Linked DNA regions of Struthio camelus. The protein of the gene in region 3 interacts with the protein of the main gene of each other region in a pairwise test. Links are inferred from orthologs where the notes say so. Each region holds a gene or a part of one and is shown on either strand. Other genes may lie near its edges.

Region 1 (7,571 bases), on a different chromosome or scaffold from region 3:
CCCCGCGAGGAGCAGCAGCAGCAGCAGCAGGAGGAGCGCGAGGCGCTGTCCGCGCGCCGTGCCCCGGGGAGCAGCCTGTTGCAGGGGGCAACCGGCGCCGGGGGAGCCCGGGCCCTTCCAGCGGGAAGGGCTGGGGGGGACAGGGGCGGCAGCGGAGATGGGGCCGGGCACGGGGGGAGCCAAGGCCACCCGAGGTGTCCACAGCTGGGGACGGCCCTCGGGACGTGGTGAGCGCCCGGCTGCATCGGGGCCAGGGAAGGGGCCGAGAGGCAGCGCGGGAGCCAGCCGGGGCGCTGTGGGGCCGGGGCACCGTGGGGCCGGCGGCCACCGCTCACAGCGTATCTACCGCCAGCCAGCAGCTGCTCAGACAGCGCTGTTTAATGGCCATAGCAACCGAATCCCCCGGGGAGAGCGTGATGCTCGTGGACCTACGGAGCTGGGGGCTGGTGGCGGCAGGCAGGGGACGCAGCACCCAGCTCCCCGCCGCGCTCAGCGGCGGCAAATCACCCCTTTTTGCTCCGTTCATTTCATCACGGACATCGCCATCGCCTGGTTTAAGAGCCACGGCCGTCCGCGCTGGCTGAGGGCGCCGGTGGGGGCTGAGCCCGGTGCGCGGGCAGCGGGGGCCTGGTGCAGACCGCTGCCCTGCAGGCTGCTCCTGGCCCCGGCCCCGTGGTCTGCCAGCGACGCCGCGCCACGGGCCCTCACCCCATCACCGTGGCAGGAGCCCCACGGAGCAAAGCTAGGGTTAAATATTGCACCTTAACAAGAGCCGTTTCTGCCTTTCTGCTCACCCCACCTGCTTTCGTGCAGCCCAGGCTGGGGCAGGAGCTGGCGAACAGCCGCGGGAGAGCGTTCGGTGCCGTTTGGGTCTTGTCTCCGTAGCGCATGCTGGGAACCGATGCTGCCCGGGCGCTGCAGGGCGGCCGACAGGCACCCAGCAGTGTTCCCGAGCTGGGATTTGGCCAGGGCAACACGGCATTATGGATCGGAGGCTCCTACAACCCCAGCTGTCCGGATGCTACTCTGGCACTCTGCTTGGAGGCAGCAGTGTGCAGAAGTCCTGCACCCAGTGTTAGAGCAAAATAAAGTACTTTCCTACGTTTGGCTGGCCTGGGTTTTTCCCTCCATCACAAGAGCCAGACACTCTTTTGTTTAAACCAAAGAGAAGCTACCTCCCTCTCCCTCAGAGCAAGGCAGCACTTTCGTCTTCTATTACCAAAAGAAGGGTAGCCCAGCTCCAACGCCCAGCTCATCGCCTCTGAACAGGCTATTCAGACAGACCAAATGTGTACAGCAGACAGGTAAAACAGCCTATAGTGCTAGGATTGATTTTTGCCTCAGCCTAAAGATGCTTCCTTCAACTTCCTGAAGAGACAGAGAGAGGTCTCCTTCCCCCAGGGACTTTCTTCACTCGCAAGGCCCCAGCAACGGCCATGAAAATGGCTGTGATTTCTTATAGACAGCCAGGCTCCCAGGGGAGGTGGGTAGTTTTCCTCCCCTTTTGTGACCCATGCAAATATCTCCCTTAAGGTTTCCTTCTCTAGAAGCTTTCCAGGTGGATGCTCTCTGCTTTTATTAGGGGACTCAGAAGCAGATACACAAGGATCAACCATTGACCCACAAGGTCCCACACCCTGGCACCCAGCCCACTTAAAGGGCAGCTCTTCTATATTGGAGCTGCGCTCACTGCGGGGCTGCCAGTGCTGAGAGCCTGGCTCCCAGTGAATGCCTATACCCTCTTCTCCTGCTCAAAAGGCATGACTCTCACACCAACTATCCATGGCATACCTGACAAAAGATCAGCTGAAGCATTTTCCCTCTGACCCCACTGCTGCCAGCTCCTCCCCAGTGCTGATGGCTAGCACCAACCCAAGAGCTGGACTTAGGGGGCACAGGGGCAGCATGGCTGGCCTAGATTTCAAGCAGAGCACTGCAGGGCCCTGCACCCAGCTGGATCCCGGCCCCAGTCATGGCAGCCCTCCCTGCATGGCCTCTTACACTCCACCATGGTAACAGCCAGGCCACAGGGCAGAAGGACCCCTGGCCTGGAGAGGGAATGGAGAGCACATCACAGGAAACCTGGCCTGAAATGCTGACAAAGCTTCTTGGCAGAGTGAGGAGCTGAGAAACCATCTCCCAGAGAGAGACGCTAAGCGGTCCAGCTGGGCGAAACCCCCGACGAAGAGGCTTAAGGATAACGTGGAAGATGGGTGAGAACAACTTTTGTATTTCTCTCTCTTAAAATGCTGTTGCTCTTGTTGCAGAGAGAAGCCACCTCCAAGGGTTCTCCTGCTGAAGGAGGGCTCACCTCACCTTCCTTCACGTCCTTCATTGCCTTCTCAGACTATGCCAAACTGTCACCAGTGATGGGGACCTGCCAAAGCATCACCCACAGCCTCATCAGTGCTTTGGACCTCAGTCCATCATGTCCCTTGCTGGCCAGGACAGAATCCTCTCTAGATTAAAGTCAACAGATCTTCTAATGCTTGGGCCTGTATTTTGGCATGCAAGAAGCTGGAATAGTAGACACACATACCAGAAGGGAAAAAAGGTGAAATACCTCATCCTGGCTACAGCACGCTCTGGGAAGGCACAGGGTTCACAGAGTGCTTTGCCTCCTGCCACAGGCTGATTCTTCACCCTGAGCCATGCTCTTAGTTGCCTGCTCCAGTGCAACGCTGTGGGGACCAGCTATGGGAGGATTGCTCCACTTGCTGAGCTGCTACGGCAAGGAAGCAAAGCCTGGGAAAGTCAGACGGCTGGCTATGCACAAGCCCAGCTGCACCAGGTAACAGATCTTGCAAACAATATTTCAACAGTGGGGGGCGGGTGTCACCCTTGCACATCACTCACAACCACAACGTTACCTCTGGTTTCTGAAACCCTGTCGCAGGCTCGGAGACACAACAGTTATTTCCTTCCATTTCAAGACTCTGATGCCGAGCTCGGGGCCTTGGAGACGATCTTGCCATCCGGCCATGACTTCCCAGCTCTCCTCATGGCTCTGACGTCTCCCCTGACAGACTGTCAACTCTTCCCAGGGGAAGGATGCCAGTGTGCTGGGCTCCTTTTCTAAAGATCTGAGTCACAGTAAGGAGCAGCACCTTGTTCTCTCTTCCTGGGGCGTTGCTGTTTCCTTGGGAGAGGGCAGGTGCCCAGGAGACAAATGCTGCACCTAGGACAGCAGCGCGTGGCAAGCCCGAGACTCTTAACAGACCAAAGCGGAGCTCGGCTGCTCAGCCCCTATCACCCAGCTCTGTGGCAAAGCCTTGCTTCTCCACAGTGGACGTTTCCAGAGGCAGTATTTAATTGCTCAATTTGCAGGGTTTATCCAGCCATGTTGCAATAGCTTCCAGCAGCTCTAACAGGCAGCACTGCAATAGGAGGAGGCTGCTGAAGCCCACAGAGCTACCCAGCGAAGGGTCTCCAGAAGCAAAAGTCTGCAGAGACCTTCAGAGATAAAATGTCTAAACCTGCCATAGCTTGACTGCATTTATCTACTTCCTTCCAGGGTCCTGTTGGTCCCCAAGCCTCAGAGGCTGGGGCCTGGCAGAGGCAGAGACAAGTTCAGCTGTCACCCCAAGCATGGACCACCCGCTCTCCCCTCCTCCCCCTCCAAAATCTCACTGCATAAATCACCTGGTACTGACCACCCCTTCTCATGCAGCTCCCAAGCAACTCCACAGCAGCACCCCTGGGCACCAGAGACGAGCAGAGAGCAATGGCTGAAGATGTTAAAGCTGCTACAAGCATTGAGCCTCCCCCCGACAGCAAGCACAAAAATGCCAGGCACTGCCCGCCCAGGCGATAGCCAAGATGCCCCTCATCCACCAAGTACAGCCCCGTCCCAGAGCTGCTCTCAGGAGTCACCAGTGGGTCCGAAGGCCCCGGCCCCGCAGGTCGGCCCCTCTGCCCACACCTGGCCTTGCCATGGCCATCAGGAGCCCTGGCAAGCTGCCCCGCTGGGTTCCAGCCCAGAGACAGCCCCCTGCATCCCAAATCAATGGGAGTGCTCAGTATTTCCGAGTGGATCAATTCTGGCACTCTCACACCTCCTCGCTTTGGGTTCCTGTTTCGCAGGGATGGGAAGGGGGAAGGGGAAGCACCCGGGATTTCCTGGAAAGGGCTAGAAAGAGGCTTTCCTGAAGATGGAGAAAGATGAAGCTTTTTCATGAGGAAGAGATGTGCGAAGAGGAGGCGAGACAGGTAGGGCGGCCGGGGGCTCGGGGCCAAGCGGGAGGCTGGGGGGCCGAGGCGGTGCATGGGCTGGGGGCGCGCCGGGGGGCCCGAGGGGCGATGCGGGGCGGGGGGGGGTGCAGCTGTGCATGCGGGGCTGAAGCGGCTGCACGGGGAGCGGCGCCCGGGGCGGCGGGGGCAGCCCATGCCCCGGGGGGGGGGAACCCGGGGGAGGCGGCCGGTACCTGAAATTGGGGGGCGAGGCGAGGTGCAGCCCCAGGAAGGGGGAGGAGGCGGGCGGGGATGCGGCTCCTTTCTCTCGCTCCGCCATTCTGTGGCTGTCTCCATGCAGGCGGAGGCAGGGAGGGAGGCAGGGAAGGAGGGAGGGAGGGAAGGAAGGAGGGAGGGAAGGAAGGAGGGAGGGGAGGGGGCTGCTGGCGGGGCCGGCGAGCAGGGATGCACCTGCCGACGGGGCGGGGGAGGCGCGCAGGGGGCTGCTGCCCACGGCCCCGGGCGGCAGCTGCAGGACAGATGTGCCGCAGCTGGAGGCAGCGCCGCGCCGCACCCCTCCCCGGGCAACGCCGGCCTTGCCTGCAGGGCAGATGTGCCCACAGCTGGACATAGCGCCCCCAGGTCAGATGCACCCGCAGTCGGAGGCAGCGCCCCCGGGACATGTCCAGAGCTCCTGGGGCCCTGGGGCCCGACCCAGTGGGGCAGGCCGGGGGGGCGAGGGAGCAGGGGGAGGCTGCTGCGGGCAGAGCTGAGTAGCAGCCCTCAGCCCCAGGGGGAGGACAGGCTGCACTCCCTTGCAAACCCTGTCTTCTGTCCCCCCATGCCGCCAAAGCCTAGGAGGGTTGTAAGCCAATCAAGGGGACTTAAAAGGCCGATTTCACATGTTCCACATACCCATAAGGGAAAAAGTGCATCTCCAGGGCCCAGCTTTCTCTCCAGAGCACACAGACCTACTCTTGCATCCCACTGTGGCTCAGGGGAGCCAAACCTGTCTTATAGTGACAGAGCGTTACCCTCTGCTACCTTTCTTCACCAGCCTGAGCAGCAGGTTTCTTTCCCGTATCTCTCCTTCCCATGCTTTGCAGGCTATCTCATAAAACTGAGAGGCGTGCTGTGCACAGAAGTGGACATCAGTATTTCTAGGTCCCAAAGCTGATGCGATAAATGAATAGGTGAACTTTTAATATTCCCTTCATGCCCACTGCACTCCCAGTTACCATACGCACATGCCCACGGCAGTCCTGGAGTGGGTGGGCAGGCAGCGGGCAGTGTTGCCTCAGCCGTTCAAACTTTAAAGACACAACAGGTCGCATCACTGTTTCTCAAGCCACAGAACTAATTGTCTTTGAGACAACAGTATTAATTTCTTGGCAAAGACCCAGGATATCAGCTGCTCCTACAGAGAAGAGCAAGCAGAGCCCTCCAAGGCACAGAACCCTGCTCTCACTTGGGAGTCTTGATCTTCTGCCAAACTCAAGAGAGATGTTACTCCTGGGCCAGCATGGAGTCAGGCATGTAACCACCAGCTCAGCCGTTGCAGGTACCTTTGGGGCAGCCTCCCAAGGGGTGCTACTCGTACCCTTCACAGTTTGCATACACAGAACAAGCCGTCTTCCATCCAGCACCTACAACTCATTGCCCTCCACTGAGGGCCTGGGAGAGCTTTGACACTGCTCCATCTTAAAGCACAAGCCTCAGCTACTGAAACACAATTCATCCGTGGCATGGCTGTGGGGTTTGACCTCTGTCTTGGGGAGCAGGTAAGGCTGCCTCCGCCTCCTGCGGGCAGATCACCACGAATGCATCTCACCTCGCTTTGGGAAGCGAAGCGCACTGAGCCCCCCACTCAGTCCAGGCATCAGGCCAGGCTGGCAGTAGACTCATTTTAGCCTTCCTAGCTGCACCAGCACCGTTCACACCTATCCCCTCACGTGCATAGTAGCCCATTGCCTGTGGCAAGAACAGTGAGATGCCTGTGCTGGGAAGCATAGCTTCCTTCCAGACCAGCAGGGAGAGCAGCACAGCAGAGGCTAAATCTGGCTTCCAAACTATGCAGGACCTCTAGTGGCTTGTCACTAGTTGGCCCAGCTCGTGGGATGTAGTCATCTAAACCAGGCACTCACTGGAGAGTGCTACAGCCCTGCTCCTACCTTAGCTGGGCCCACACCGCATCAGCTCCTCAGGCCTGGCACAGTAGTACCTCTTGCAGAGAGCAAGCAACCCTGCTTTACTGCTCTGGCTCCTGCGGAGCCCTGGCAGTCAAGGCAGGAGCTTCAGAGGGTGCTTTCTCCCTGCTACGTGCACAGCAGCCTCTCTCACTTCAGGGCAGACCCTCTCCCAGTAGAAAGTCTCCTGTTGCTGTAGAAGCAGTCCACTTTCCCAGTGACCCTCCTTTGGGTCCTGTCTTCTCCCAGGGACAACTGTGCCCCAGTGCATCATGCTCTCAATAGAGAAAGAACCATGACTGAGGTTTCTGCTCCAGCTGTCAGCAGAGGAAGAGGGCTGCAGGGTCTACAGGCCAAAGCTACGTGCCCTATCAAAGGCCCCAGGACATGTTAAACATGTGAAACAGACTGTGACAAGTCTCCTTAAGGAATCCTTGAGCACTGGGATCAAACAGCTGTGCCCAGCCCTGATAGCCATGCACCTGATACCAAATCAATCCCTCAGCATTGCCCCCTTTTTATTCCCTGGTAGGCTCCCTCACCTGAGGCAGAGCAGCAGTGGCTGTGCCATGCTCTGCATGGCAACTGCTGCAGCACGCCTCATGCCCACCAGAGCCCTGTAGCCTCCTGGCACAAGAAGGGACAAACGGCTGGAGCACAGCATGGCTTCCCCCAAGTCCCCCTCGCTGCAGCTGCCAGTCAAAGGACAAATGCTTCCAGGGACAACATGAGACAGTTTTCTCTCACAGTGGCCTATACTGCTGTGGAAAAGCATCCAGCATGTTTGCAGCTGGGAATGATCTGGGATAGCAAAGTCTATTAATAACCTTTTGTTTGTGCCCTGGATGCCTCTCTCATGCCTGTCAGTACCCAACTTCTTTTCTCCGGATGCTGCTGATGTTGTGACCCGCTAGCTGCCATCAAACCCTCTGCACAGGGGAAACCCCATCCAGCTGCCCTGAGGAGCCAGGCAGGCTGCCCTGCCTGCAATGGGAATGCACTGGCTGGCCAAGGTGTGGGAATTTGAGAATGAGCTGTTCCTCCCAAGTAGGTTCACTGTAAGGGGAGTAAAATAAAAATCTAAACAAAACCCCAGAGAACTGTTCCTTGGGGAAGATTGTTAGGTCACACCTAACACTTGGACATCAAGTAAAACAATTTGATGGACCTGCAACATGCAGTCAGCTCATTTGAGGCCACAGGCCTGGGCTAGCA
Region 2 (6,872 bases), on a different chromosome or scaffold from region 3:
AGGAGACCCCAAGCAGTGTGCAGGGGGTGCAGTTTGGCCTGCCGCAGCCCGGCTGAATGCAGCGGTGCGCGCTGCACCTTGCAGGCAGCACGGCAAGGCGCTGGGCGCACGGGGCCTTCCTGTGCCCTGGCTGTGTCTTGGGGGCCAGCACCAACTCAGGCCCATTCCTGCAGACGGGCATGAACGGTCCAGCAAAGACGCAGCGCGCACAGCACCGTGCTGCTGCCACGCGGGGCTCCAGGCCCCTTCTGCTGGCAGGAGCAGGGGGCACCCCCCGCAGCGCTGCTCGCCGGAGAGGAGCCTGCAGACCCCCTGCTCCGTGCAGACCTGCAGCCTTTGGTGCAAGCTCCCTGGGCACATGAGGAGCAGAGACCACTGGCAGCCAGGGAGTCCCCAGGGATTTGACCCAGTTTTCCTGGCACAGGGGTGCAGCTCCTGCACCCCGCGCCCTCCTCCTGGCTAGGAGCAGAGCGGGTCCAGTAGCCAACGCAAAACGGTCACTGCTCCTTTGCCCTCTGCCCTGCCACCAGGCTCCTCCACTGCCCCTCGGCTCTGCTCAAAGCCGGTGTCAGGGGCCTTAAACGCCAAACGCTCCTGCACGAGCCAGAGGGAAGATCGATCGTCTGTGGCTAGGAGAATAACAGATGTGACTAGAACAGGAGCCAGGCTGCTGCTGTTTGTCCCTCGCAGAGCACAAGGACAGAAGGAGACGTGGAAAAGCAGCGTATCACTACGGGACAGGAGGAGAGGATTTCCCTGCCGGGGGGTCTCCAGCCAGTGGAACTCACTGCCACAGGAGCAGAAGCGTTTGCAGAAGGAGATGCATGAGATGTGGCTATGGCCAAGAGCACGGTCGCGGGTTGCAATGCCCTCCATGGGCTTGAACTCCCCAGGGGGCAGGAGCCAGCCCCCTCCTCGACCCAGAGCTCCCCCACGCCCCCGAGGGCTCCAGCCCCGCTGCCTCGTACGGCCCAGCTTGGGAGTGTGCAGGGATGCATCCCCGGGCCAGACCTGACACCGCAACCTCAGTGGTAACCTGCTACGGGCCAGCTCTGATCCCCCTCGTGCCACACAGCAGGGCAGGGCCTCCAGGGGGATGAAGGGGGAGAGTTGTGCAGGGGATCCCTGCGAGGAGGATGCGACCACCCGGAAAACGCAGCCCCTGGGGAATTGCTCTGGGCCCAGATGCCAAGCGGGAGGCAGGAAGGAGCAGAACAGCCATGGCAAAGGCAGAGGCTGTGTCCTCCCCACCGCGCTCCCCATGACACCAGCGCAAGGTCCCACCACGACCCAGGGACAGGGATGACCTGGGAAGCAGCCACGAGACCTGCTCAATGTGGGTCAGAGCCAGCCAACGAAGATGTCCAGCATCCCAACTAAACCTCAGCTCCTCTGGTCCTCAGGGCCTCCCTAGGTACCCACCACCACCACCATCACCTCCCACCCTCCATCCAGCTGCCGAGACCCCGCTGCCCCATGCTGGGCCAGCCTGGCTTGGCCACCGCCCGGCCTCCCCACCCTGCTGGCACGGCTCCCATCCAGCCCCACACACCCCATGGCCCCCAGCCTGGGCTGCACCCCAGCCCTGCCAAGCCCACCAGCAGGGCTAGGGGGTGAGAGCCTTGCCGCGTCCACCCTCCCCGCTCTGTGCCAGTCCGGCTGGCAGCTTGGCCCTGCCGCCTCCAGCTCCTGCAGGACCTGCTGGAAAGGTGACCTGCGTCAGGCTGCACCCGGGCCCGGGCACTCCTCCCGCGGCGGAGAGGGGCCTGGGAGCCACTGCTTTTAGCAAGCACCATGTTTCCCCACGTTAGACCTCGGAAGCGCCGAGCCTGCTCGGACGGAGCAGCTCGGGCAGGTCTCTGGGGCGTCTGCCGAGAGCGAACCAAGCCAAAGCTCCTTCCCCACGCGCCAACAACAGGGCTTCCCATCGCAGGCCAAACCTGGCTGGCAACCCCTTCCCTCGCGCCAGCGCGCGCTGAACCGCCAGGCCCCCCCGAGAGCACAGAGCCGCCGGGCCCGGGAGGGCCTGGTTTGCGGCGTGAACAACAGGCAGAGCCCCCAGGAGCGTTGCGGGAGGGACGGAGGCGCAGCGCGTGTCAGGAGAGACAAAGAGACGCCAGCCGGTGCCGCTTCCCCGCAGCCCCCGGGGACGCGGCGGGGCAGGGGTCGGACCCCGGGCGGCTCTGCCCTCCGCGGCGCGGGGCTCCCGGCGGACGGGGAGCGGCTCGGCCCGGTTCGGCCCGGCCCGGGCGATGCGGCGGAGGCTGCTGCAGCGCTAATCGCCGCCACGGGAGCTGCGCCCGCGCGGGGGAAGGGCCGCTCGGCGCGCACGGCCCGGACGGGGCCCCCGCGCCCCCGATGGACCGGCCCGGCCCGGCCCGGCCCGCGGCAGCAGCATCGCTGGGCCGGAGCGGAGCGGGGCGGCGGCGGCGGCTCCGCGGCCCCAAGGTGAACGGGGAGACGGAGAGCGGCAGCCAAACTTCCCGCAGGACGCGGGGCCCCGCTGCGGGACGGCGGCGCCGGGCGGCCCCGCTGCGGCCCCCCCGGCCCGGCCGCGCGGCCCCGGTCCCGGTCCCGGTCCGGTCCCGGCCCGCAGCCAGCGCCAAGGGCGGCGCGTCGGGCCGAGCCGAGCCGGGCCGGGCCGGGCAGAGCCCGCAGCGCAGCGCCGCGCCCGCAGCGCGGCCCCAGCGCCCCGGGCGGCACCGCACCGCACCGCACCGCACCGGGCCGAGCCGAGCCGCACCGGGCCGAGCCGGGCCGGGCCGGGCCCCGGGCCGCCCCGCCCCAGCCCCGCCGCCCCACGCACGCACGGCCGCGGCGCGGGGCCGGACCGGGCCGGGCCGAACCGAACCGAAGCGGGCCCGGGGCTCACCTGCAGCCCGGCGGGGAGAGCGAGTGGAAGGTGGAGAGCGAGAACATCTCGGCGCGATCCGCCATCTTCTCCCGGCCGGGGCTGCGCCGGACTGCGGAGCTGCGCGGGGCTGCGCGGGGCCGCGCTGCGGGCGGGGCCGCGCGGGCACCGGGGCGGCGGCGGCGGCGGGAGCGGCGGGGGCGGCGGCGCGGAGCGGAGCGGGGTGCGCGGGGGGCCGGGGCCGGGGCGGGCGGCGCGCTGGGAGCCTTATAGCGAGGGAGGAGCTGGGGCGGTGCGGGAGGGGCGGGGGCCGCCTCGGGGGGAGAGGGGGCTGCGGGGGGAGGGCGGCTGTGGGGCGGGGGGGTGGGGATAGGGGGCTGTATGGGGAGGGGAGGGGGGACGTACGGGGAAGGGGAGAGGGGGGATGGAGGGGGAGGATGTGTGGAGAGGGGAGGGGGGATGTATGGGGAGGATGTATGAGGAGAGGAGGGGGGATATATGGGGAGGGGAGAGGGGGATGTATGGGGAGGGAACGGGGGGGTTGTATAGGGAGGGAACAGGGGGTGTATGGGAAGGATGTATGGGGAGGGGAGGGGGATGTATGGGGAGGGAACGGGGGGATGTATGGGAAGGATGTATGGGGGAGGGGGATGTATGGGGAAGGGGAGAGGGGGGATGTATGGGGAGGATGTGTGGAGAGGGGAGGGGGGATGTATGGGGAGGGAACAGGGGATGTATGGGGAGGATGTATGAGGAGAGGAGGGGGGATGTATGGGGAGGGAACGGGGGATGTATAGGGAGGGAACGGGATGTATGGGAAGGATGTATGGGGAGGGGAGGGGGATGTATGGGGAGGGGAAGGAGGATGTAGGGGGAGGGGAGAGGGGGATGTATGGAGAGGGGAGAAGGGGCTGTATGGGGAGGGGAGAGGGGCTGTCTATGGAGGGGGGCTATATAGGGAAGGAAGAGGGGGATGTATAGGGAGGAGAACAGGCAGAAGTGTATAGGGAGGGAAGTGGGGGATGTATAGGGAAAAGAGGGGTTGTAAAGGGAGGAAGAGCAGGGAGGACTGGGAGGCTGTCTATGGAGGGGGGGACTGTATAGGGTGGGGAGAAAGGTAAGTATAAGGAGGGGAGAGCGAGTGGTATAGGGAAAGGAGAGGGGGCTGTCTATGGAGAGAAGGGGGGATGTATAGGGAGGGGAAAGAGGGCTGTATAGGGAAGGGAGAGAGCCATATAGGGAGGAGAGCAGGGAGGAACGGAGGGCTGTCTATGGAGGGGAGAGGGGGTTGTATAGGGAGAGGGACAGGGAGGAGTGGGGGGATGTAGAGGGAGAGGGGAGGGGGCTGTATAGGGAGGAGAGCAGGAGGCAGTATGGAGAGCAGGGGTGTGTTCAGGGCCACAGGGGCTGTATAAGGAGGGACAGGAGGCTGCACAGGGCTGCTCTGCGGGGAAATGCAGAGGGCTGTGCAGGGGCTGCGTAGGGGGGGCACAGGGCTACGTAGGGGCCTGCACAGGGGAGGTGCAGAGATGTATAGTGAGGTGCAGGATTGTGCAGGACTGTGTAAGTAGGTGAAGGGTTGTATAGGGCAGTGTAAGGCTGTGTAGGGACCATGCCAGGAGGGCTATATAGGGCGGTGCAAAGCTGTACAGGACTGTGCAGGGCTGCATGGAGCTGTGCAGGGGGCTGTACAGGGAGGTGCAGGGTCATATAGGGAGGTGCAGGGCACCACAGGGCCATGCAGGGGGCTACATAGGGCTGTATAGCAAAGTGCAGTGCTGCATAGGGAGGCACAGTGCTGCATATGGAGGTGTAGGGCCGTATAGGGAGGCGCAGGACTGCATAGGGAGATGCAGGGCTGCACAGGACCATGCAGGAGGCTATATAAAGCCATGCAGGGCTGATTAGGACCATACAGGCTGTATGGGACCATGCAGGACTGTATGGGGCCATGTAGGCTGTATAGGACCATGCAGTCTGTATGGGGCCATGCAGAACTGTATAGAGCCATGCAGGCTGTATAGGACCATACAGGTCTGTATGGGGCCATGCAGGCTGTATAGGACCATGCAGGACTGTATGGGGCCATGCAGGACTATATAGGGCCATGCAGGCTGTATAGGACCATACAGGACTGTACAGGACCATGCAGGCTGTATAGGACCATGCAGGACTGTACAGGACCATGCAGGCCGTATGGGGCCATGCAGGACTGTATAGGGCCATGCAGGACTGTACAGGGCCATGCAGGCTGTATAGGGCCATGCAGGTTGTACAGGGCCATGCAGGCTGTATAGGGCCATGCAGGCTGTGCAGGGAGGCGCCGCGCTGCGCAGCCCCGGGCCGGGCCGGGCCGGGGCGGGAGGCGGCCGAGGGCCCCGCGCGGAGCTGTCCCCGCCCCGGTGCTGAAGCCCGGAGCTGTCCCGGCGCCGCCGCTGCCGGCCCGGCCCGGGGCTGCTCCCGGGGGCTGGTGCTCCGGGCCGCTCTCGGGGGCTGCTCCCGGGGGCTGATGCAGGGCTGATCCCAGGGGCTGGTACCGGGCTGATCCCGGGGGCTGGTACCGGGCTGTTCTCGGGGGCTGCTGTCAGGGGCTAATGCAGGGCTGTTCTCAGGGGCTGCTCTCGGGGGCTGCTGCCGGGGGCTAATCCTGGGGCTGATCTCGGGGCTGACGTCAGGGGCTAATGTCGGGGGCTGATCACAGGCTAATCTCGGGGGCTGATTGCGGGCTGGTGCCAGGGGCTGATGCCAGACTGATGTCAGGGCTGATGTTGGGGACTGCTGTCGGGGGCTGATGCTGGGGCTGACGCCAGGGCCTGATGCCGGACTGATGTCAGGGCTGATGTCGGGGGCTGATGCCGGACTGATGTCAAGGCTGATGTTGGGGGCTGATGTCGGGGGCTGATGCCGGGGCTGATGCCGGACTGATGTCAGGGCTGATGCTGGGGGCTGATGCCCAAGGCTGATGCTGGGGTTGATGCTGGGACCTGCCCAAGGCTGTAGACCCACTACAAGGCAGGGGCATCTGGGCCAGCTGGGCCCGGGGGTCAGTTTGCCTTGCAGGGATCAAGACAGGTGGGGGAGTCTGGGGATGTGGAGGAGCCATATGGGGCCCTGCAGGACCCCGAGGCATTGGGGGGGGGTGTCTGTGCAGTGGGGGCAGGGTATAGTGGGGGTCAGAAAGTGGAGGGTGTCTGGCGCACTGTGGGTGCAGGGTGCAGTGAGAGGGGCCAGGAGGCAGTGGGAGTCCAGGAGGCAGTGGGGGAGGCCAAATGCAGTGGGGGCTGGAAAACAGTGGGGACACAGAGGCACAGGGGGTCTGTGCATTGGGGAGACCCAAAGGTGGTGGGCCCAGTGGCAGTGGGGGGGGTCCTATATAGTATGGGGCACAGAAGGCAGTAGGGGGATCTGGGGAACAGCAGGTCCCCAGAGTCAGTGTGTGTGGGGTGTGGGGGGGTCCGTGCATGGGGGAACAGGATGCAATGGGAGGCCCAGTAAGCGGTGGGGGCACCAGAGGCAGTGGGTGTCAAGGGGGCTGTAAGAAGACATACAGGAACTGGAGGCAGTGGGTGAGCAGGATACAGCAGGGGGGATCTGAAGGCAGAAGGGATTCAGGATGCAGCACGGGAGTCTGCGCGCTGGCGGGCAGGTGGCACTGGGGGTCCACAGGCAGTGGGGCCCAGGGGTGGTGGGCCTGGGTGCACCCGCCCCTCTCTGCAGCTGCCCGGCCCGTGCTTGGGAACTGGCTCACAGCAGGATTGCTGCAGCTGCTCCCGTGGGACCGCCGGGCCAGCCTGGCCAGGGCACTGTGCTGGGCCCCAGGGACCTGTTGTGCGGATCCCCCTCTCCGACTGCTTGCCGCAGGCCCTGGCAGCTCCAGGGCAGAGGGCTTGGACCGGCGGGGCCCCGCTCGGTCCGCTGCCCTTGGGCCTGACCGGAGGCTGCAATGCCGCCCCGTTGTGCACACCGTATCCTGCAGAGAGGCTGCACTGCAGGGCCTGAGCCACCATGTGGGGGGGGGGGG
Region 3 (7,169 bases):
GAACGAACGGCCACGTTGCTTACACATTAAAAGATGCCTGCTAACCAACAAAGTTAAAAATTAAAGGCTTGATTTTTGACCAGGGTTCAGTTCTAATTTACAGCATCAAAACTCAGCCAATTCTTAACAGCCAGATAGAAACACCACAGTTGATGTATTACTGGACAGAGACAAAAAGGTGATGGCTAATAAAAGAACAAGATATGTTCACTTGAATAAATAAATTCAGATATGCACCTGAATGTAAATTTGTCTCTTTTGAACTTTCTCAGGGCTAGGACAGTTTGCAGGGGCTGAGGATCTGCCCAGTGCATTAACTAGTAAAGCTGTTATTGCCACTGGCATTCAGTAATCTTGTGGTCAGTCTGTCCTTGGATAAACCCAGGTTTTTCCAAATAGAAAACATTTTTTTTTGTTACAATCTGTTTCCAGCTTCACATGGAAGTTTCATCATTAAATCCTATGCCTTTAGCATGGCAAGCTTTCTTCTATTATTATTATTATTTTGAAGTCATACTAAAGCAAGGCTACCTACAGATGTGCTCGTGTTTTGAGAGAATACTGGTATGACAACACATACAAATCTAAAGTAAAAATGACCCAGTCTCTGCCTGGGTAGTAGTCCCCAGCAGCAACAGTTCATTCTTTGGATTTCATCCATCTCTGCTATCCTACCACATAAAGGGTCCTATTTATTTAACAGATCTCTGCTTTAGAGCAACCTACAATATATACGTGTGTGTTAGAGACCTCCTTTCCTATAGGGCTATTTATTGCAAGGAGGGACTCTTAAGGCATTTTCTTTTTACCTTCACCTGAGGCACAACTGAGTTTGCATCAAAGCCATCAGATTTCAGAGGGAGCAGACATAGTTCCTTGGTATGCACGGGGGCCACAGTACTGATGCATATTGGGACTTCACAACTTAATCTCTCTAGGTGCACGTAGCGTGAGCAGGAGTTTCCATTAATAGGAAGGTCATGTTTTAGAGCGCTTGGATGGAATTTAGGTAGAGAGCCAGTATTGATTTCAACTCCTTAACAGAAGGAGGAGAAAAGTAGAAAACAGCACTGAGCTCACCAAGCTTCTCGTATTAGCCACATCACATTTCACAGTGTTAAAAACAATGGCAGTTATTTGTCAGGGAAATATTTTTTCAAGGATTTTAAAAAATCCATCTAACCTCAAACTAAGAAAAAGAGGGCCTTGGCTGGTATGGCTCCCAAGCACCTAACGCAACCTCATCTTCAGAGACATTTCTAGAAGACAAACACACTGGATCCAAGGTGGATCCCCAGTCCACGTGAACGTGAGAAACATTAAACCCAAAAGAAGTGAATCAGGCCAGAACAGAAATCGCAAAGTGAGGACTACACAATGCACCTGGCATCATGGTGAGAGGTTTCCTCACTGTCTCCTGCTCAGCAGTACATGACCACTTCTGTCTTTTAACCTGGAATTGGATCACAGTGCCCTGGAACTCAAAAGCAGCACGTGAGAACTATGCACTGTTTTGGTAACTGCCACTTAAAAAGTGAGATTAGCAGAGAGAGGCTCACAAAATGAACTTCCAAACACCCCCTGTGCTTTCCCCTCACTCCCAGCAATGGGCCTGTGATGGAGTTTAACAATAATAGTATGGATATGAGAGGGTGTCCCTGTCTGGAAGGTGGAAAGAAGGGAAGAGATATTAAACAACTCCAAATCTGCCCCTGCCACTATCCCTTTGGTTGGCACTGTCTCGTCCAGCTTGCATGTCCCTGTGCCCCATGCTGGAGACATAGTCACAAACCCAGCACAGGGAAGTCTTGCCCCAGCTACATCTCTGGTTACCAAAGTTCTTAGTACTTACTTTTCTGCAAGTAGACTTCTTTTGCACTGCCTGTGTGAGGACTGGAGCATCTCTATTTTGCTCCAGTGCCCTGGCCCTTCAGTGTATGCGCTCCCCTACAAGGCGGCAACATATGGGATTTGTAGCTGAAGAGAAATGAGAAGTAAAGAAGCATTTCCAAACGACTTGTTGTCTAAAACTTGTTAGGATACTCACAAGGGAAACAGAAGGGATTGGAATAACTTCCAACATCCTTTACACGCGATGATTCAGCTATGCTGAAGAAAAAGCGAGACTGAAGTCCTTGTCATCTTGCTGTTTTTCCAACAACTTTCCTTCTGTCATCCAAGCCTGTGCAGCATTGCAAATATTTTAACAACCGTAATCCCTCTGTGCATCACCTTCTATGCATAAAACTAGCTGAAGATCAGAGGTACTTCACAGATGAGAGCTAGAAAAATCCAAGAGAAAATTACCAAACCTCTTCTGAGAGAAAAATATGAAGTATAAAAGGCAGGGACAGGAAAACAGTATATCATTCATTGTGGCAACTGTTATAAGCAAATCCAAACATGATGTTATAAGAGATAACACTGAGCAAACCTAGTAAGAGAGAAGATTACTATTCCTTAATATATTATTCAAGTTAGCCTGTCCCACAAGTTACTTTCATTCTCCCTTTCCACAGAATTCAAAGAGTTAATTACCAAAGAGACAACAGTATCTACTGTCTGTCATATTGTCCTTGGTGTGGGGCAGAAGCCAAACAACCATATTAGTAGTGAATTTCAGCTGTGTTCAGACTAAACATCTTTCAAAGTAGGACTCCCTCATGCTAAGAACTGTTACCTCCTGTTCCTCTAAGAGCCAGAATCAAATGCTCCAGAGATCACAACAGTAGTCCTTCCAAAGCACCTGAGAAAAGATAAATAATCCTTCAGATTAGTGGCTTATTAATTTGAATTCCAGGCCAAAAACATGATAATGACATTAAGGAAAAGAGAACATGGTTTAGCAGCACAGGGTTTGCAGATAATAGAATCTTATAGTTTTGATATGAATTTCAGAGAGCTAGAGATTAACCACTGCCTACTTAATAGAAAAGCTGAAAATATGGTCTTACTGCATGAACTTTGTGAGCAAGTCTTCACGCTAGTTGAAGAAGATGACTAGACAGCAACAGTCCGATGAAACAAAGTCTTTCTGAGAAGAAAGATATTTAGTGCATGACAAAAATATATCCTATACCCCTATACCTGGTGCATACCAACCACTTAGCTGTATATTGAGATATTTACAGTATGAATGTTTGTTTAGTTTAATTTTCAATTAAATGGAGAAAATAAGAATGAAGAAAGTAGAGTAGCTTGAGATAAGTCACATTTTAGCAATTCTTAAGGGATCACTAAGGAACAATTCTCGAAGTGTTAGCTTTGAAAATAGTACCTGATTCAGCCAACCTGCAAAACTACTTTGACAGGAAGAGACCAAACTCATGAACACATGAGGTCAAAAGGATTACAATAATTGGGAAAAAAAATTTTTTTTTTTTAAATCTCTCCTCCTTGAGGCACTGTTCACAGGAATGAGATAGAGGACAGTTCAGTGAGCACAGACTTTGGCAAGCAAGGTAACTGGCTTCAGAAGTCCACCCTGCTCCCTTTATCCATCTTCCCTCTAAGCTGAAGCATTGCAATTTACCCTCCCTTTTGTCCCCCTCTTTGCAGGTCCTCAACAAAGAGCCGACTGCTGTACCTGACTTAGAGCACAGTCCCACAAATGCCTGAGAGCGCTGCAATCAGCGGTAGGGGTGCAGCATTCTTAAATTGACTTTACTGTTCATGCCAACGTTTCATCAGATTGAACCCTAGCTGAGCTATCATCAGGAGAGCACACAACGTTATTTTTATAGCTACTTTACAAAATAGAGCACTGTGAGATAAAAGCTGAACATCAAAACACAGCTTAATGGCTTGTTTTGTATTTTGTAAGATATTTAACTGAATTCCTCCTCCTTCTCATCGCTCTTTCTTGCGTATAGAAGTTACTATCACTATATACTGCACAGTTTAAGCATTTCAGATTTTCCTGATTAGGCTACCTCTAAAGACCCTATCACGGTAAAGGGTACCTCCTGCTGTTTTACTCTTTTGAAGACAGGGTGATAAACATTGCTCAGGATAAGATCTTAAATTATAAGCAACAGGAAAGTTACTTTTATGGTGCTTAACTTAAGAAGCTTCAGATCCATAACACTTCAGTTTCTAGTGCAGCTGCACTACACTGAAAGCTGAAGTGCATAGTCAAGAAACTGGAACACATTCTTTACCCATTTTACCTACATTTCCACTGGAACAGTTGTCTGCAAGTTTGAAACAATGTATACAAACAGAGCTGTACAACATACCCATTGTAATTACTGCTCTCTTAGAAGGCTTTGAGGGGTGGTTCATTGCTTTTTTCTTTAAGATAAACAATTGTGTTTAAGCACCATTGTAAAGTCAGAGTCACAAGCCATTAGAAGTAAAGAGGAAGTTACATGCCATATTCACCTCGATATTAAAAACTCCTCTTGTTCTTTAGGAATGACTGTTTAATATTTAACCTTTCCAGAAAAGCTAGAGCTGTCTCTCTCCATGTCAAACAGTTTAAGAGATACTAATGAAAATCCTCACGATCCTTTGTGGCTGATTAGGTACAACAGAAGAGCCATTTTATTAATTTGAAGGCCATGAGCTTGAACCCTCATTTTAAGCTGAAAGTTATATTTTATTCATATTGTAGCGTTTTAGTCAAAATACTCACTAGAAATAATTAAGAGAACAAGCCTCAAACCTTAGACCTTTGAATTATTAAGCTGAATACCCAGTTAATTATTACACAATGGAGAAAGGAAGTGAAGAGTCAGCAGTCCTGATATATTACTGTTGCCACCTACCTGCAAAAAGCTGATGGATGATCAAGTACATGCCAATAAGTATGTCTTCAGTTCATAAAATGTTCAGATGAAATCCGCTAGTCACAGTTAAAAAGTTTTCTTCTGGATTAAAAAAAAAATCTAAGTTTTGGGACAAAAGGTTAAACTCTGGTTCTGTTAGACTAACAAGGGAAAACTCTGAAGTTCAGCAGTTTCAGCTGACATTTATCAGCAGTAAGTCATCACTTTCCCTTAACCATTACCGAAGTGAAACATCAGATGCCTTGATCTATTGCAGGAAGAAAATAAGGTGCTTTTCAAGCAAAGGTGATAAAAACCGTGGATGACTTTAGAAAGCATATATTTAGTTGTCCTAGCAGTAAGCAAGAAGTCATTGTAGTCAACAGCTACTTTTCAAGTCAACCTTTCAGGCAATCAAACTCCTGAATTTTTATCAGCTGCCATTTCTGAATGGTCTTCAAGGTTTGTCAATCTGAAGAGCAAGGCACGTATAGCAATGGTAAAGCTCTCATTTAAAAAGCTGTCATCATCCTGCAGGCAAACAGAAAAAAAGCATTTGGTTCCACTGAAGACGCTAAGAACTGCAGAAGTAAAGACTAACAGAGAAAAGTTCTGCTGAGCCATGTTGCGGAATTAGAGACCTCTCTCCATATACAGCAAAGAGACCTAGTGAGAATTCGAGACAGACATGTACATCCTCAATAATTAACATGGGCATCCCACCATGCCACCTTGTAATACGATTTAGTCATATCTGTTCCTTTATGCAGCTCATTGCCAATAATCACTGTTGCTTTCATCTTGTTTGGGCTTTGACAGCTCTCACAAATCCAGTAATACATTAGCTTTAGAGGAACTTTTTCATCTTTTAAATCAATTCAGGTAAACTAGCTTCAATAAAACTCCTTACAACACACATTCAAAATACAGGAAACTTTTTTCTGTTTTACTTATTATTCAGCTTTTCCAAACGTCATCAGATTATAACTGTTTCAAAAACTGAAGTATTAACTATAATCAGTAGAGATTCAAAAGAAATTATATAATCTGTTATCGCCAGCACTTTTCCATTTCTGCACCAAGTTATTTTTGATGATAATTTTGATGATAATTTTGATGAAATTTGATAATTTAGCACATTAATGCTAAATTTTGCTCTTAGAGCCACAGCACCAAAAGCCATTTACTGTTCTCTTAAAGTACATGACGGTCTTCCCTTTATTTCTGTTACTATACTCTCACTTATCACAACATGAATCAGGATTTAACTGCCATTTCCTTTTCCTTCCTCCTTCCCAATTTCTTCCTTTTTTTCCTAATATCTCCTTGCAGACATTAACTTGCTTCTTTAAGGATTAAGTTGCAAGAGACAGCAAACAGGATTGCAAAGAAAAAGATAATGTAATTGTTAAGTGTAGTAGTTCCTATTACTCTTGTTATATAGTACAACAGCTACTTCTTATCTAAACTCACAGATTGATAAAGTTGCAGAACAAGACATAAAGTCAGAGTCACAATTATGAAGCACTTGGTTAGAGCTGACTTCCCTCTATAAAATCCTCACGCACACCGAACACAAGTCAAGGTCACCAGAGCAGATCCTACTGCAGACTACAACTAGAGTGCATACCAGGCAGAGAGAGAGGTACAACACTATAGTGTCTATATTTTCCTAGTTCCCAGTGATCCCTGGACAACTATATAGGAGATAGAGCAGTCTGTTGACTACTTATTATGCCAGAGATGTTTAAATCCCCATAAACCAGGATTACAGAAGGGTAAAAAGTACCTTAAAGACACTTGTCACCTTCTCACATTCGTCCTGAGGTAAACAGTGAAAGACTAGGGATTTGTGGACAGCATTCAGTTTTAGTGTGACTTTTAGGTTTTAACAGTATCATAATCAGATCAAATTTGAAGAAAGTTATTCAATATATCGTTTTCTCTGGGATTTGTTTAATGGTTAAAAACATAAAAATAACAGATCTCCCATATTATAGAATATCTTAAGTCTACGAAAGAGAAATATTATTTTGGAGATTTAAAAATCTGTAGCATCTGACCAATTTCTGAAGGGAGGCAATTGCAGCCAGGACCCTCAACCATATATGTTACAGAAAAGCAGATAACTTTTCATAGCAAAAGGTGCTTCTGTATGGGTCATATTTTCAAATTCAGGCTAAAGAATCTGCTATCATTACTGCCCATGTTGCACTTTTTCTAAATATAGAGGGCATAAGGATATTTCAAGCAATGCTTTTCATTAAACTAACCATCTTTGAGCCTAATTATATTCGTACAGTGTTCCATCCAATTAACTCTTCATCCGAATTAGACCTTTGGGTGCCACTATCAAATAAGCATGTAGAATTCCCATCACTGCTTTATTCTAAAAACCTG

Evidence for each region. The genes of interacting proteins can lie anywhere in the genome.
Region 1: the proteins of LRP2 (region 3) and MAPK8IP1 interact in a two-hybrid assay, tested with the Homo sapiens proteins (2 studies listed by BioGRID). The link is inferred for Struthio camelus from reciprocal best matches to the Homo sapiens genes LRP2 and MAPK8IP1.
Region 2: the proteins of LRP2 (region 3) and MAPK8IP2 interact in a two-hybrid assay, tested with the Homo sapiens proteins (2 studies listed by BioGRID). The link is inferred for Struthio camelus from reciprocal best matches to the Homo sapiens genes LRP2 and MAPK8IP2.

Annotation. Positions count from the first base shown.
Region 1 is NC_090946.1:40,385,047-40,392,617, forward strand, and holds the start of MAPK8IP1 (C-Jun-amino-terminal kinase-interacting protein 1), read right to left. Parts: upstream 3,011-7,571; 5' UTR 2,984-3,010; coding exon 2,871-2,983; intron 1-2,870. UniProt on the Homo sapiens protein: The JNK-interacting protein (JIP) group of scaffold proteins selectively mediates JNK signaling by aggregating specific components of the MAPK cascade to form a functional JNK signaling module. Required for JNK activation in response to excitotoxic stress.
Region 2 is NC_090942.1:659,614-666,485, forward strand, and holds the start of MAPK8IP2 (C-Jun-amino-terminal kinase-interacting protein 2), read right to left. Parts: upstream 3,011-6,872; 5' UTR 2,938-3,010; coding exon 2,873-2,937; intron 1-2,872. UniProt on the Homo sapiens protein: The JNK-interacting protein (JIP) group of scaffold proteins selectively mediates JNK signaling by aggregating specific components of the MAPK cascade to form a functional JNK signaling module.
Region 3 is NC_090947.1:23,838,022-23,845,190, reverse strand, and holds the start of LRP2 (low-density lipoprotein receptor-related protein 2), read right to left. Parts: upstream 3,019-7,169; 5' UTR 2,955-3,018; intron 2,747-2,954; 5' UTR 2,681-2,746; intron 2,283-2,680; 5' UTR 2,048-2,282; intron 1,978-2,047; 5' UTR 1,853-1,977; intron 1,475-1,852; 5' UTR 1,384-1,474; intron 1-1,383. UniProt on the Homo sapiens protein: Multiligand endocytic receptor. Acts together with CUBN to mediate endocytosis of high-density lipoproteins. Mediates receptor-mediated uptake of polybasic drugs such as aprotinin, aminoglycosides and polymyxin B.